Linked DNA regions of Styela clava. The protein of the gene in region 2 interacts with the protein of the main gene of each other region in a pairwise test. Links are inferred from orthologs where the notes say so. Each region holds a gene or a part of one and is shown on either strand. Other genes may lie near its edges.

The links.
Region 1: the proteins of histone-lysine N-methyltransferase EZH2-like (region 2) and histone deacetylase complex subunit SAP18-like interact in binary tests that used the Drosophila melanogaster proteins (3 or more experiments, as listed by UniProt). The link is inferred for Styela clava from reciprocal best matches to the Drosophila melanogaster genes E(z) and Bin1.

Annotation. Positions count from the first base shown.
Region 1 is NC_135259.1:21,874,562-21,882,626, reverse strand, and holds the start of histone deacetylase complex subunit SAP18-like, read left to right. Parts: upstream 1-4,998; 5' UTR 4,999-5,148; coding exon 5,149-5,357; intron 5,358-7,532; coding exon 7,533-7,652; intron 7,653-8,065. Other genes in the region: uncharacterized protein LOC120332010, read right to left, coding at 1-4,121. UniProt on the Drosophila melanogaster protein: Involved in the tethering of the SIN3 complex to core histone proteins. Interacts with bicoid (bcd) to repress transcription of bicoid target genes in the anterior tip of the embryo; a process known as retraction.
Region 2 is NC_135251.1:26,461,664-26,468,754, forward strand, and holds the start of histone-lysine N-methyltransferase EZH2-like, read left to right. Parts: upstream 1-3,979; coding exon 3,980-6,247; 3' UTR 6,248-7,091. Other genes in the region: dnaJ homolog subfamily C member 8-like, read left to right, coding at 2,658-3,395. UniProt on the Drosophila melanogaster protein: Polycomb group (PcG) protein. Catalytic subunit of the Esc/E(z) complex, which methylates 'Lys-9' and 'Lys-27' of histone H3, leading to transcriptional repression of the affected target gene.

The DNA.
Region 1 (8,065 bases), on a different chromosome or scaffold from region 2:
GCTACAAATGTTTTAAATCTTCGAGTTTTATTTTTCAAATATCTCAATACACAAGTCGAGTCGGACCACATATGTACGTCGCCTAGTGGAAGGGATAGTTCTTTTCGGAGAAAATTTAACAATCGCACGGCCAAGAGAGCACCTTGCAATTCTAAACGAGGCACGGTCATACCTTTCATAGGTGCGACTCTTGCTTTAGCCGCGATAAGACTACACTGAAAATTCTCCCGGGAATGCTTCGATATTATGTATGCTACCGCGCCATATGCCACTTCTGATGCATCACAGAATATATGAATTTCATACGAGGAACTTTCACATTTAACACCTTTAAATTGACGTGGAATCGAAAAACTCTTTAAACATTTCAGCGAATTTATCCAATTTTCCCAACACTTCAATCTCTTATTATCAAATACTTCGTCCCAAGCTAAGTTGTCACGCCAACATTCCCGCAGTAATAATTTGGCATACAAAATGATTGGTGCTACAAATCCTAATGGATCGAATATTGAACTGGTTACACTAAGGGCCTTTCTTTTCGTGGTAAATTCAGTAAATTTCTGGTGGTCGAATATAAAGCAATCCTTCTCGATGTCCCAATGCAAGCCCAGAGCTTTTCTAACAGGTAATCTGTCCAGATCTAAGTCAACATTAGTGACGACACGTCCACTGGATATTTCACGTAAAACCGATTTAGAATTCGAAACCCACTTGGTCAAGTTGAATCCTTTATCGTGTAACATCTTAATCATATCTTTAGCTGTCGATACCGCGGAATCAACATTCCATTTCGAAGTAAGTAAATCATCGACATAAAAGTCTCTATCGGTAGTTAATATTACGTCTCTAGGAAACTTGTTTCTACTATCGTACGCAGCTCTCTTCAAACAAAAGTTTGCGACATAAGGTGAATCCACAGCTCCAAAAATACGAACTAAGAATTTATACACATCTGGCCGTTTGGTTGAAAAAAGGTCTTCCGACCAGAGAAAACGTGCAGAATCCGTATCATCTTCCGGCAATCGAATCATATGAAACATGGCTTCTATATCGGCGCTTATAGCGATTGGTCTTTCCCGAAAACGTAAAAGCACCCCGACTAGATTATTGATCAAATCGCGCCCGGACATCAATCGACTGTTCAGACTGACGCCGCAGCAAGTAGATGCCGCGTCAAAAACAATTCTTAGTTTATTTGGCTTGTTGGGATTTTCAACGCCATGATGAGGCAGAAACCAAGTTCGAGGACCGCGAAACGCCTTTTCATCTGAAGTTAGCTTACGCACCCAACCCCTTTCAATATTCTTTGCCATTTCTTTACAATATAAGTTTCGCAAACGTTCGTTTCCTTGGAGTCGTTTTCTGAGATTTTCGAACCTGTTAAGCGCTACGTGTTCGTTTTGCGGCATTTTGCAATTTTCATTTCTCCACATAAACCCAACCTCGTAATGACCGTCGATAAATCTAATTTTTCTTTCCATCAAATTATCAGTTTGTCTATCTTCAATCGACTCGCTACGGGTCAAATTGTACGCCGTGCCTACAGCTTCAGTGGACCAAAATCGCTCAACTTGTTCTTGCAGCATGTTATACTGGTCACGCAAATCACAACACAGCATATTTGAAACAGTTTCATCTTCATTAGTCGCGCCTGAAGACCCGATCAAAGTCCAACCGAGAGGAGTTTTAATACCCACTGGTTCATGTTGCTGGCCGACTCTACGTTCAAGCTGGAAATGCGCCAAGGGATTATCGGCTCCGATTAAAATCATGGCTTTGTTCGCTTCAATGTCGGTTAACGGAATATCCTGCAGGTGAGTCATATTGTGATCGTTCTTAAGGATTCTAGCTGGATGTGGTATGCGTGACTCGACCACAAACACGTTGCTTAACATCAGAATTTGACCACTCTCGTCGTGAGCAGATCGCACCGACAATTTCACCACCTCCGTATTTTGCGAAACGCCCTTATTGCATAAGGTGTTAATGGTTAGACACCTAGGACTTCCTTTCAAACCAAGTTTTTGTTTTAATTTGGGATGTATTATTGAGATTTGACTGGCAGAATCTAGAACAGCGATAGCATATTCAGAGGATCCCAATGGGCCTTTTACTACGACTGGCAAAAGCTGAAACTGAACACCATTAACGCCTGAAACATGAGAATTGGCAACGCCGCTCATTTGAGGAGGGAGATCAGGCTGATTGTTATCACTCAATCTATTAGGAACGACTCTCAAACCATGGATGGCTGAATGATGCTTACCGGGACAAACACGACACATATTGCGGAACCGGCACGAAATAGCTAAATGTCCAGGTTCGAGACAGTTAAAGCACAGGCGTGAATTTAGTAGAAATCTTCTTTTCGTGTCATTGGCACTAAACCTGAAGCTATCGCAGTTACTTAAAGAATGAAAACCATTGCAATAGAAACATTGCATTCGCGGTTGTTCGAGCGGCTGATTTGAATGACCCGATAAAGGGTATACCACATTCTTCTTAGGAAATGCCTGTCTGCGATCGTCACGATCTATTTTAGTACTGAAAAGATTTGGTGAAAAAGGATTTCCTAATTCCTCGCATCGTTCCCACAACCACTGCTCGAAGTCCAGTAAACTCGGCATTTCGTCGGCACGAATCATATCAGTCACAAACTTATTCCAACTCGAGGTCAGTTCTGCCGGAATTCGCATTGCTGTCTTTCTAACATTTTCAATACTATACAAATCTGCAAGCAATCGCATTTTCTTCAAATTTATCACAATGTCGCGAACTTCAGAATGAAAATCGGATATTTTTCGGATACTGAATTCTGTTACTCGTCTACCATCTACAACCTTCTCGAGAAAGGCCCGAGCAATCGTCACCCGTTGGCCGAATATATGTTTCAATTCACTCAACGCGACAATATAATTACTTCCCACCGTGCCTAAGCCATCGACATGTCGTTTAGCCACCCCCGTCAAAGACGCGACTAAGCGAACCATACGCGAACCGTCGTCGTCAAGAGAACTGTGTACATTATCAAAAAATAACTCAATAAAGTTTGGCCATTCTAGGGGCGTTCCGCTAAAACTAGGAATCGTAATCGGCGATAAATGGTGCTGGGACAATATTCTAGAATTCAACTGTAATGATAACATAGTTTGTTCCTCTACTGACATATTAAAAGAATTAACAGAAAATTTACCAGACTGGTTAGGTTCCAAGTGGTCAATCCACGCGTCGACTGCTTCTTGTGGTATGAGCATTCTGTTTGCAGGAGACGGGCGTTTGTAAGTTCGTGCTGTCGGGAAGTGCAATTCTTTGGTCTTTTCTGAATTTGTTGCCACTTGACTCTTCGTCGGAACAAAAAAGTTCACTGCACTTCGTCTGCGTGTTGACTCTAACGGATATTCAATATTGACGCCACGGAAGTTATCTTTAGGCATCTTTTTGGTAGCCAATTCAGTCTTTTCTTGTTCAATTTCACGCATAAGTTCGTCAGCTTGGCGACGTGTTAGATCTGCCATTCGTTCTTTTTCGTTTATATCAAGGCGACGCTCTAGTGCTGATATTTTATTGCGAATGGTATCTTCTTCTGTGAGAAAGTCTCGTTTAGCCATACGTACAAGAGAATCGGCTCTTTCTACCTCTCGTTCTTGCTCAAGTTGCAATCGCTTCAGTGATTCAACACTGCATTTGCTTGTATTGGATTCGACAGACCCGTGATCAGAAACGATCTCCTCGTCAAGGTAAGAATTAATTCTGCTTTCAATTTGATCGATTTTCGATAACATCATTTGCCTTCCAGTTTCATATTTCTTCAAAACATTTGGATTACGGGTAGTCGGAATGAGTTTATCCATCACTTGGTCATAAGCAATTCGTTTAATATGAAGTTTAATTTTAAGATCAGTAGCGATAGAATTTTGAGCATTTTCAGTAATCGATTTTGAAATTCTGTCGCACAAACCATTTAGTTCATTTTGTAGTCGGACTCTTTCGTGGCATAATACATTGCGTCCAATAGTTTCAGAGTTACCGTCGTCTGTTTCCGCGAGAGGAACTGCAGGCGAAGAAGAAGCTTCTCGTCTATTCAAATCTTGTGTAATTGATTCATCTGCTTCGTTCATCGTCGTCGCAAGGAGATTTGTTCAACTTTGTCACTTTTGGGACCCTCAAATGATAAGTCGATTTGCCAGACTCGTTTTATTGAAAGTATTCAAAACGGTTGACTAAAATACAAATGAAATAATTAGCACCAAATAAATCAAAGACAAATGATACAGAATATAAAACTAATACTTACACAAAACAACTCCATATAACAGCATAGTCCCAAAACGACAGATATACAACCAAGGTAAAACAGTAACTATAAATGCAATACCATACGAGCTGTAGACATGCAAATATCATAATGTTATATCGAACGATTCGAAATACAGTATAAAAGAAGACTATTGAATGAATTCAAACTTCAACGTTATAAAGGCGATGTAATCTTAAACTGCCATAACAAGAAATGAAATCCTAAACTGCTACCACCAGAAATGCAATCTTAAACATCTTGCTGAGCTTAGGGGACGATAATAAAATAAATACGTAACACGATAACACGTGAAAGAGAAAAATGCGACACGTCGAATACGAGAAAACAACACAGTAATGATGACGACGACGAGATAGCGATAATCATCACGATGACGATGTACAACTGAAGGAATCCTAACTAAACTAAACTTTAGGACCACACGGACTGCCGACATGTTGTACTTCATATTTTATTACATAGTTCATAGCTTGGCGGTAAAAATCCACCCTTCGGTTTCAGTCTTGCTCCACTAACAGCTGAGTTATTTGATTCGGTACAACAACACGAAGAAAATTCCCCATAAGACTCCATTGTATCGCGTTTTTCAAATATGGCACAAGATGGCGTCCATGGAGCTGTTTAACATTAGGCAAGTTGGTTGCTTGGCCTGGGCCGTCCTAAAACGCGGAAATACGATTTTGATTGACAGCCAACGGATTTGCTCATTCGCGGTACCTCTAGTGCGCGTGCTCTTCTGTGTGTTACGTGACGATAGAGTTGCTAGGTTTTATCTCTGCTTTCGTCTGTTATTTTGATAATAATTTAGTAATACATAAAACATAGCTATGCCTCAAGCTGGTTCACTGGAAGACCGACTCAGGAGTGTAGCACAGGACGCGCCAGCGGAAGAAAAGCCGGCGCCAAAGCCAGCTATTGATAGAGAGAAAACCTGTCCACTCTTGCTGAGGGTTTTTACTTGCAATGGAAGACACCATCCTCTGAGTGATTATGCGCGAGGGAATGTGCCAAATAATGAATTACAGATTTACACATGGTAAGTGTTGTGTTTGTACAATCTTGTTGATTTTTAAATCGTGGACTTCTAATCAATGACATTAGTTTTCTGAAATACATAAAGCAAACTAAATTGGGATGATTTAATCATATTCCGAACAAATTCTCCATGTTTAGTGTTCAGTTGAAGCTTAATCAGAAATATAATAATGCGTTTTTTCCATCTAAGTTTTTGATTTTATTGTCAGATGATATCTGTCCTTAAATTACTGAATTATCAAACTCCAATTGCTGAATTGTTCACTGTCACTTTGTTGTGAGAGAGAGTGTATAAAATAGGCGTGTGTAAAGTGTCTGGTCTCGTATCTCGAGTACTCCTAATGGGCTTAGTATAACAATTTTTGCACATGTCATTCCTAACCCCCACCTGACTACGCCATCTCAAAATCGCAATTAGCCAAAGAGCTTGCCAACGTATAACTGAAATTGCATCTGCACCGACGATAAAGAACTCGACTCTCATATCGGGATTATTGCGACGAGAAAATGAGAGAAATAGCTTGCTCGATTTTGCACAGTCGCACATTACTGTGTTATGCTACGCCCACTAGAAGTAAGAAACTACACTGAACCCTTCACAATCAACGATGCATGATAACCGTGTTTCGTATACATGATTTCACTGGTACCTGTTTTGCATCGCACATACGTCTAAGATAACGCCATTCTTGTGAGTTTGTCAATATTACTCATGGGCCCGAGTCTGTTTTACTTTTGTGTTATTGCACATAATACATTCACACAATTCATCACCACAATTGCTTGGCGGTATGGCGCATCGTGTTGAATGATAGGAATCCTGTGAGAATAGTTATGGGCGAAAAAAACGCCAGACTCCTCGCCGACTGACTCCTGGTCAGTTACGGCTCTGATTCAGCGTATTGCTCATCCAATAATTTTACGCAAAAACACTCCCAAAATTGATGACAATGTATAGAAATAATGTTCGGGTCGTCCAATTTTGCTCTGACCCAACTTATTTTTCATTCAATAATTTTACACCGATGTATGTTTATTTGCCTCAAAAATGTAACAGTACCGGTATCTGCATAATAGTTAAACGGTATAAAAGAGACTGGATACATTTTCAAGACCTTACCGGCCTAAGACACAGATGTGCGACATGCACGCTAACAAGTATAACTGCAGTTTAGGACTGCTGCGTTATAGTAGGACAACGAACATGAAAATTACAAATAAAACTCTTGTGCAATACACAGGACGAAGAGGTACGGCACCACGATGATATGTACAATAGGCAGTTTATGGCACGTTCATGTCCAAGGTTCTGATGATGGAGGGTATAAATCGAAATCGCATTTTTGTGTGTTTTACGGTAGATTGTACGAAACAAGTAAAAATTTATTCGAGACATGAACTAGCCAAAAACCAACGTTGGGTGGGACCACGACACAAAAGGGTTAGGTTCTAAAAAGGTAAATAATATAGGACATATGTAGAAATTCGTTGTTTACACTCGAGTTGGTAATTCTAAATTGTATGCGACAAAAGTAATGAGAACAATAGAGTCTGGCATAAAATGCAGGTCAACTTCATAGGCGCTATTGTGTGGAATTTATTGTCACCACGTCTCAGCATGATAAATTTAATTTGTATAAGATGATCTTTTCATTAGCAAGGATCCAATGAAGTAACTGTACAAAGCTAATAAACCATAAAAATATGCAGGAACTAGAGACAATGGAATAGTGGGTTGCCCGAGACTTGTTTCCTGAGCAATGGAAGTTGGTTGCATTCATGATGACATAGTCAAACGGAGATATTTTCATCTGCCAGTCTTTTCTCAACTTTTTCCCACCAATCATCAAAGAGCCCTTTGTATCTGAAAAATAATGCCTGGAGATTAGAATGTCCTGCACGAAAGCTAATATAATTCCAATAATTGTGCTTTAAGTTTTGATCTAAATGTACTTAACAGTACCAGTATCCGGGAATTTCTGATTGCACGCTCTATTTCTCGTTCAAAAAGGCCATGAAATCCAGACTGGCCTGTAGTTTTATCCAGGAATAATCTGAGTGAGGGCTCGGAACTTCGCTCAGACATGAGACTCCCATACTCCTGTGTGAGTGCTCGTAACTTTGGTCAGCGAAATTAAATATATAAAATTAACTAGTCTCATCCCTTTTTACACAGGATGGATGCAACATTGAAAGAATTAACAAGTCTGGTGAAGGAAGTGAATCCTGACGCTCGAAGGAAAGGAACAAAGTTTGAGTTTTCTACAGTTTATATGGAAAGAAATGGACGCCATAGGTTAGTTGAAAAGTATTCACCGTAAAGCTATCAAATAGCTTCTGATATTTCAGTGGCGCCCATACCTTGCTCAGATATTGTCTCATGCACTCTTGAATGGTCTTTCATAACCTTTCTCTCCTTTACTACCGAGTACTCAGAGTTATCTTTACTTCTGAGTGAGTGCCCGTAACTTTGCTTAGAGATGAGTCTTCTTTACTTCTGAGTGAGTGAGTGTGTGTTCAGAGTAATATTATTAAAAACAGTTTAAAAAAATACCCACCGTCGTCATTGAGGTTTTTTTTTAGTTAATTTAACGCAACTCCATCACACTGAAATGCCATTTTTGATTCCATTTTAATATTCTGTATCATGTAACATTGGTTATTCTCAGTATGGTGAAAAATCATTAATTAAACAATGGAACGCTCAAT
Region 2 (7,091 bases):
AAGAATACCAGGTTGCAGAACATGTTTGTATTAATTACTGTGCCTCATTAAGTGCAATACTCCCCATCGTGGCATACAGCATGGGCCAGGAGCCACGGTGACCTAACCGGTATTTTATAATGACCCTCACGAATAATGATAACCAATTATTATTGAATTATTATATTTTTGTTTCTGTTGCTTTAAATGTTTTATAGCAGCTCAAACGGGGGCCGGTGGCACCCCAAGGGGGCCACGAAGCAGGTCAAGGAGGACCACGACACAAGGCTAAGAATTCACGAAGCGACTTTGTTTGCATACTTTCCTTTTAAAATAAAATACTCCGTTCTTTGTGATCGCAGGGTGTATTCTCTTTCTTGCGCGTTAATTGTTTGATCATAATGGAACTTAGAATCTACCAATCAAAATAGTTCGCCGGTAGGCCGTCAACCTGTAGACGGGCAGTTTCACTTGACTGCGAGATAACATTCGCTATCGTATTATAGACTCAAAAACCCATTTGTAAATTCCAAATGCCCAAAATATGAAAATGCAACGACAGTCACGTTGGCTTTTACTTTACTAAAGAAAATCGAGATGACAGAGAATGTGCTCAATGCTTGCATGTAATTACCAATAAATCATTACCTCCATCTAAACTCCAAAACCATCGTGACAAAAATCATCCCCAGGTGAAAGACGTTGATATCGGTTTCTTGGCTGTCAAGCGAGTTGGATCGGTAAGATATTGGCCAAGTCCGGTTTTATCAGCGGAAAAGCCCGCTATGAAGTAGCATATCAGATTCTTACCCACTACTTAGCAAGAAAGCTCCTTCATTGCTAGTTCAATTTGCCGCAACTCACTTATTAGTGCGAATCTGGTTTTTCTGATCTTGTTACCATCAAAACAAAATCTAAAAACTGCCGTTAATGGTAACAGTGACATTCGTCCGGCTATATTAAAGACGATGTCTAGCATTAGAAGCCTCGTCAGACAGTTCCAAGCGCAAGATTCCCATTGATTGTATACTAAAATGCTTTCACTTTCTTGTCTGTGGTTTGCTTTTGCATTCAATAAAAGATCGTAAAAAACATAATACAATCTAACACGTTTGGTTTTTTGAAATGGCGAACAGGGGTCCCACAAGTGCCAAAATGCGCCGGAAGGGGGCCACGAGCTATGAAAGGTTGAGAATCACTGTTTTATAGTGTTGACATTACTTATAAAACAAGAGAGCTATGCTCAAATATATGGACACGTAGCGCCACCCAATGGCAATAATTTTGATGACGTCATAGCGAAAAAAAAAGTAATAGCCTTCTGGAGAAAAATTTTATCTTCAACCACTGAAAATTTCAAAGCAATTGGTCCAGTATTCGAAGAGAAAAGCGACTTTTTAAAAACGTGTCAAAGAACAACAACAAGGATAACAAGAACAAGAACAACAACAACATAATATTGAAACGATCGTTATGTCCACTACGTGTCCAATAAAATCTCTCTCTCGGTCTCTTGTGAACGGCACTTGGGAAAATTTCCAAACCCGGTCTGCCGCGGAGTGGCGGTATAGTGCTTGCCGCGCCGCTTATGCTGTTACTTCAGCGTGCAGGAATAGGATTCACGAATCCTTTAGGAAGCATGCTCTGATGCCAGTGCAGGGCAAAGCGTTCCGGTAGGGCTATATGCAACTCACAGGGAACCCACGACTGCGACGGTGCATTTCCTCGTTTCTCAAACGTCAGAGATTCAAACTCATGAGTATTATTTTTTATTAATATAAATTGGCGACTAAGAATTTTTTGATCCCATCTCAGTTCTCACGTTTTACTGTTTTATGGTTTTGCAACACTTTCTGACTGACTGCATGTTGAAAATTTGTTAATTAAGACAGTAAGAGGTCATGTAATGTGGAAATGTTTCGAGACAATCTGTCTCTACTTTTGAACAAGACAATAGAGCAGACAAGCAGACTTGTAGGCCTATGTTAAATATTAATACCGGTACGGTAACCTTTGAGATGACCAGGCCCAACAGGCCTATGAAAATTGATAATTTAGGTTAGGATCTAGTCGACATACCAGTAGCCTCCCCCCTAACCCCTAAAAGGCAATTTTGGTCATGTGGCGGCCGACGCATGTTGGATTGATTTAAATTATTTTTGAGACAATCATGGAGACAATCGATCTGCCGTTGTGTCACCCCCTCGTTAACTGGCTCGTTTCACAAATAGATTGTTTTATTGTACCAAATATCGGGACATCATGGAATATGAGAACTGTGCTCTACTGGAACTGCAGAATTGGCTTGTGTCAATATCCAAATAGTTTGGTACCGGTACCGGTACCTATTTCTGTAATACAGCCATCTATCAAGTAATTTATTTCAATTTTAAATATTCTACACATACAGACATAATTATGTGGGGAATTTTGTGTCGAAGTCGCCTCACCTATATCTGTATATGCTATATTTCTCTAAAAGAATTCAACATGATGCATGTACTGCAGTGTGACAGTACTATCAACTATATTTTGGTGTAATTCCTAACTTCATCTGGACCATGCTTTTTGTTTGAGATTTATTTGATTCTGTGATTGGTTAAGTCAGCAAGTTAAAACCTAATGATTCAATTACATTTTCAGCTAATGTTGTAAATAGGTGAATTTCAATCTTAATCATGGCTTCAACCAGTTCTGATCCAAAGGCTGAAGATGCATTCAATACATATATGTCCGAAGTGAAAAGAATTGAAGCCGCGGATTCAGTACTAACACCAAAACAACAGATTGATCGTTTAAATCGACCTGGATCAACTTATTTTAATCTTAATCCATATGATGTTCTACAAGTTACGCCAGAAACTCCTCTACCAGATGTTAAGAAGAAATTCAGACGCTTATCTATACTTGTTCATCCAGATAAAAATTTAGAACAAAAAGAGCTCGCACAAAAGTCATTTGATGCTGTCAAAAAAGCATGGGAATTACTAAATGATGATAAAGAAAGAGAAAAATGTTTAGGTGTAGTTTCAGATGCAAAAGTACGACTTGAAACGAAATTGAAAGAAAAAAGGAAGAAATTGAAAAAGGAAGGAAAACCTGCTGAAATACCAGAAGATGATCCGCATGTTTATGAATCAGAACTACACAAAGAAACTTGTAAACTTTTTGCTGACATGGCGATTGTTCGTAAAGAGATGGAAACTCGAGAAATGAATGAAAGAAAAAGGAAAGCGCAACAAGAAGCTGAGGAAAAAGAAAAAGCGAAGCAGCAGAAAGAATGGGATAAAAACTTTGAGGAAAGTCGTCAAGGTAGAGTTTCCAGTTGGCAAAATTTTAAGAAGGATAAAAAGAAGAAGAAAAAAGACACGAGGGCACCTTTCAAACCTCCGAAAGTCAGAATGGAAGAAAGATGATTTTCCTCTCATTATAGTTATATTCATCAAACTTATATCTCTAAAACTTCAATTGTCTTTTGTTTCACATCATATCGAAATAATCTTGAAAATTAGAATTGATTGTGAAACCTGTGTACTAGGCTATAGTATTATGCATTGACATAGAATCATCATTTTGTTTCTCCCAATTGGGGTCAAACTTTACAGTAGTGAATGAGTCCCCACTAATTTTAAATTATGTTTCATTTAGAATATTATTATTGAAACAGTTTTTATATGGGTATGGTTTTCAATAATCTGTCAATGTTATTAAGATGGAATTTATGGATTGTTCTATGTATTTGTAATAAGAATTTGGTGAATTGAAAAGCATATATTTTTCAGCAAAAAAAAATCAAATTGGAAAATTTAAATAGTACTGCATTGTGACACAAATTGTTTTTCACCAAGATTATATTAGTAGTAATTTTCCGTTTATTTTGTTATTTTGTCTCACTTGACAGGTATGCGGCTATATTAGCTTATTTTTTAAAGTTTATTGAACTATGCTTCTTTGTTATTTTCAGCTTGTGTCACTGCTTAGTTAATTAGTTAAGAACAAAATGGATTGGAAAAAAATTGTACGAAGTGAATACATCACGCTTAGATCGGCGAAGAGATATCAACGTAGTGACAAAATTAAACAAGCTTTCATAAATAACAGAGTAAAATTGAACGAAAGAATTTCAAAATTGGAACAAACAAATGAAAAGTACAAAGTACAACAACCAGATTCAGAACCGGTTTTTACAAATAGACCATTCCTTCGATGCTGTACAGTGAAAAGTAGTGTTCATGCTTTCCGTGATCAGTCTGTTCCTTTATGTACACTGCAAGCTGTGCCAAGTCTTCCTGTTTATTATACATGGGTCCCAGTTCAACAGGATTTCATGGTTGAAGATGAAACAATTCTACATAACATTCCATATATGGGGGACGAAGCTTTGGATAAAGATGGAAGTTTTTTAGAAGAGTTGATTATGAATTATGATGGTAAAGTGCATGGGGACAGAGAAGGTGGTTTTCTAAGTGATGAATTATTTGTTGATCTTGTTGATGCACTGAATAAATATAATATCAGTCGTAAACGTCGTCCTTTGAGAAGTCGTTACAGAACTGATAGTGCTGCAAATGAAGCATCACAAGACAACACTACAAGCGAATCAAGCAATGAAGATGCAGATCCAGCGAAAGAGAAGGAAACTGCAGATGCGGAGCAAAATAAAAATTCAGACTCGTCATCTGCTTCTGGTACAAACACATTTCCTGCAGATGAAATATTTGATGCTATTGCTGATTATTTTCCTGATAAAGGTTCAGGTGAAGATTTAAAAGATAAATATAAGGAGCTGACTGAATTGATGGATCCCGATGCACAACCTCCTGAATGCACTCCCAATATCGATGGTGCAAATGCTAAATCAGTACAAAGGGAGCAAGCATTGCATTCTTTTCATGAATTATTTTGCAGACGCTGTTACAAATATGATTGTTTTCAACACAGTCATCTTTATAGACCACCTATTAAAACGAGTAAACGAAAAACTCAAGATGTTAGAACACCTACAGAACCTTGTGGTGCTGATTGTTTCCAACACCTTGAAGGTGCACAAGATTATCGTGAAATATCAGAGAAACCTCACAGACATTTGCAGAGAGGATTGTCAAAGAAGAAATCTCAGCTTAAAGGCGAAGGAAGAAGTGGGAGCAGCAGTGGAAGTCGACCTAGTACCCCTGCCCCAAGTGAGAGTGAGATGGATACAGATGCGACAGATACTGAAAAACTACCTACAACACAATCAATGACATCATTTCTTGAACTCGTTCCTGAAAATTTGACTAAAACTATATGGGATGGAGCAGAGTCAACTCTGTATCGGGTATTAAGAACAAATTACCCAAACAATTTTTGTTCGATTTCGAAACTTATTAAAACTAAATCTTGCCAAGAAGTTTATGCCTTTGCATTACTTGAAGCTACACGCTCGCAACATGACAGCGGTTCACAACCTCATCCACATGAACATGATTTGAGAGATTCAGCTTCTCCCAGAAAGAAAAAAAGGAAGCACAGACTTTGGTCTCTCCATGCTAGAAGAATACAACTGAAACGAGATTCGTCCAGCAATCATGTTTACAATTACCAGCCTTGTAATCATCCAGGACAGCCTTGCGACAGCAATTGTCAATGCATTATGGTTGGAAATTTTTGCGAAAAGTATTGCCAATGTCCGTCTGATTGTCATAATCGCTTTCCAGGATGTCGTTGTAAAGCTCAATGTAACACCAAGCAATGCCCATGTTATCTTGCAGTGAGAGAGTGTGATCCAGACCTCTGCTCTCTTTGTGGTGCTGACCAGCTCGGCACAAATGCAAGTAAATGTTCTTGTAAGAATGTTTCAATACAAAGAGGTCTCCATAAGCATCTACTTTTGGCTCCATCTGATGTTGCCGGATGGGGAATTTATATAAAAGAAGATGTGCCCAACAAAAATGAATTCATTTCTGAATATTGCGGAGAAATTATATCTCAGGATGAGGCAGATCGTCGTGGAAAAGTTTACGATAAATACATGTGTAGCTTTCTGTTTAATCTCAATAATGATTTTGTTGTGGATGCCACTCGTAAAGGAAACAAAATTAGATTTGCCAATCATTCCGTTCATCCTAATTGCTATGCTAAAGTGATGATGGTAAATGGTGATCATCGTATTGGAATTTTCTCAAATTGCCCGATACAAGCAGGAGAGGAATTGTTCTTCGACTACAGCTACAGTCAATCTGATGCAGTAAAATATGTTGGAATAGAAAGAGAGATGGAAGTTTCCTAAAACTATTTGAGAATCATTATAATAGGCTACTACTGTAAATAAGTATAACAGTTAGGAGTTTTGTAGACTATTCTGATTGCTCACACTGCGATTCACTTATTGAATCAGGCAATTGAAAGCACTAGTATGGAATGTTTTCTTTACACATATTTATTTTGTTTGACGTGGTCCCTATTTTGCCAATGCATTATTGCGTTGGCTTTTCGTTTTATAAATTGAGGATGCAGTAGACATCCCCAGGGGCACAGTCAGGATTTTGCAGCGTAGAGTGGGGGGGGGGGGGGTGGGGCGGGGTCGGAGTCAGAAATACCCATGTAACGCATGAGGAAACAATTGATGCGATTATGCTACTCATTAAAATTGTGGTTAACGTATCTTGCGGTTGCATCGTTTCACATAGAAATAACATTGTATTTGAACTCTAAAATACCATGGCAATCAGTGGATATAAAAATGTGATATGAATTCTACAATTAGATTTTACTTTGGATTCATATTTTTGCGACCACGCAAATTTGTTATTGCTGATAATAAAATCACAAAATCTGTGATAAAATTGCAGTACAGTTTATGTTAGTACAATAAAAAATTGATTGAACATCAGTATCAGCATAATCCAAAAAAAATTGAGTGTGGCCCTGACGATAATTTATTAACTGATGGCATGCATAATTGACTGTTTTATCTTCAGTGACTATGGTATAGTTCCAACTTATTATAATGTGTTCCATGGCAACTCAGGCCCCGAAAACCCCCTGGCTGCACCACTGGACTCTGCTGTCTCTTTTGCATCATTTGCTGCTGAAACTTATTCATAATTTCTTTATTTAGCTACTGCATTTTT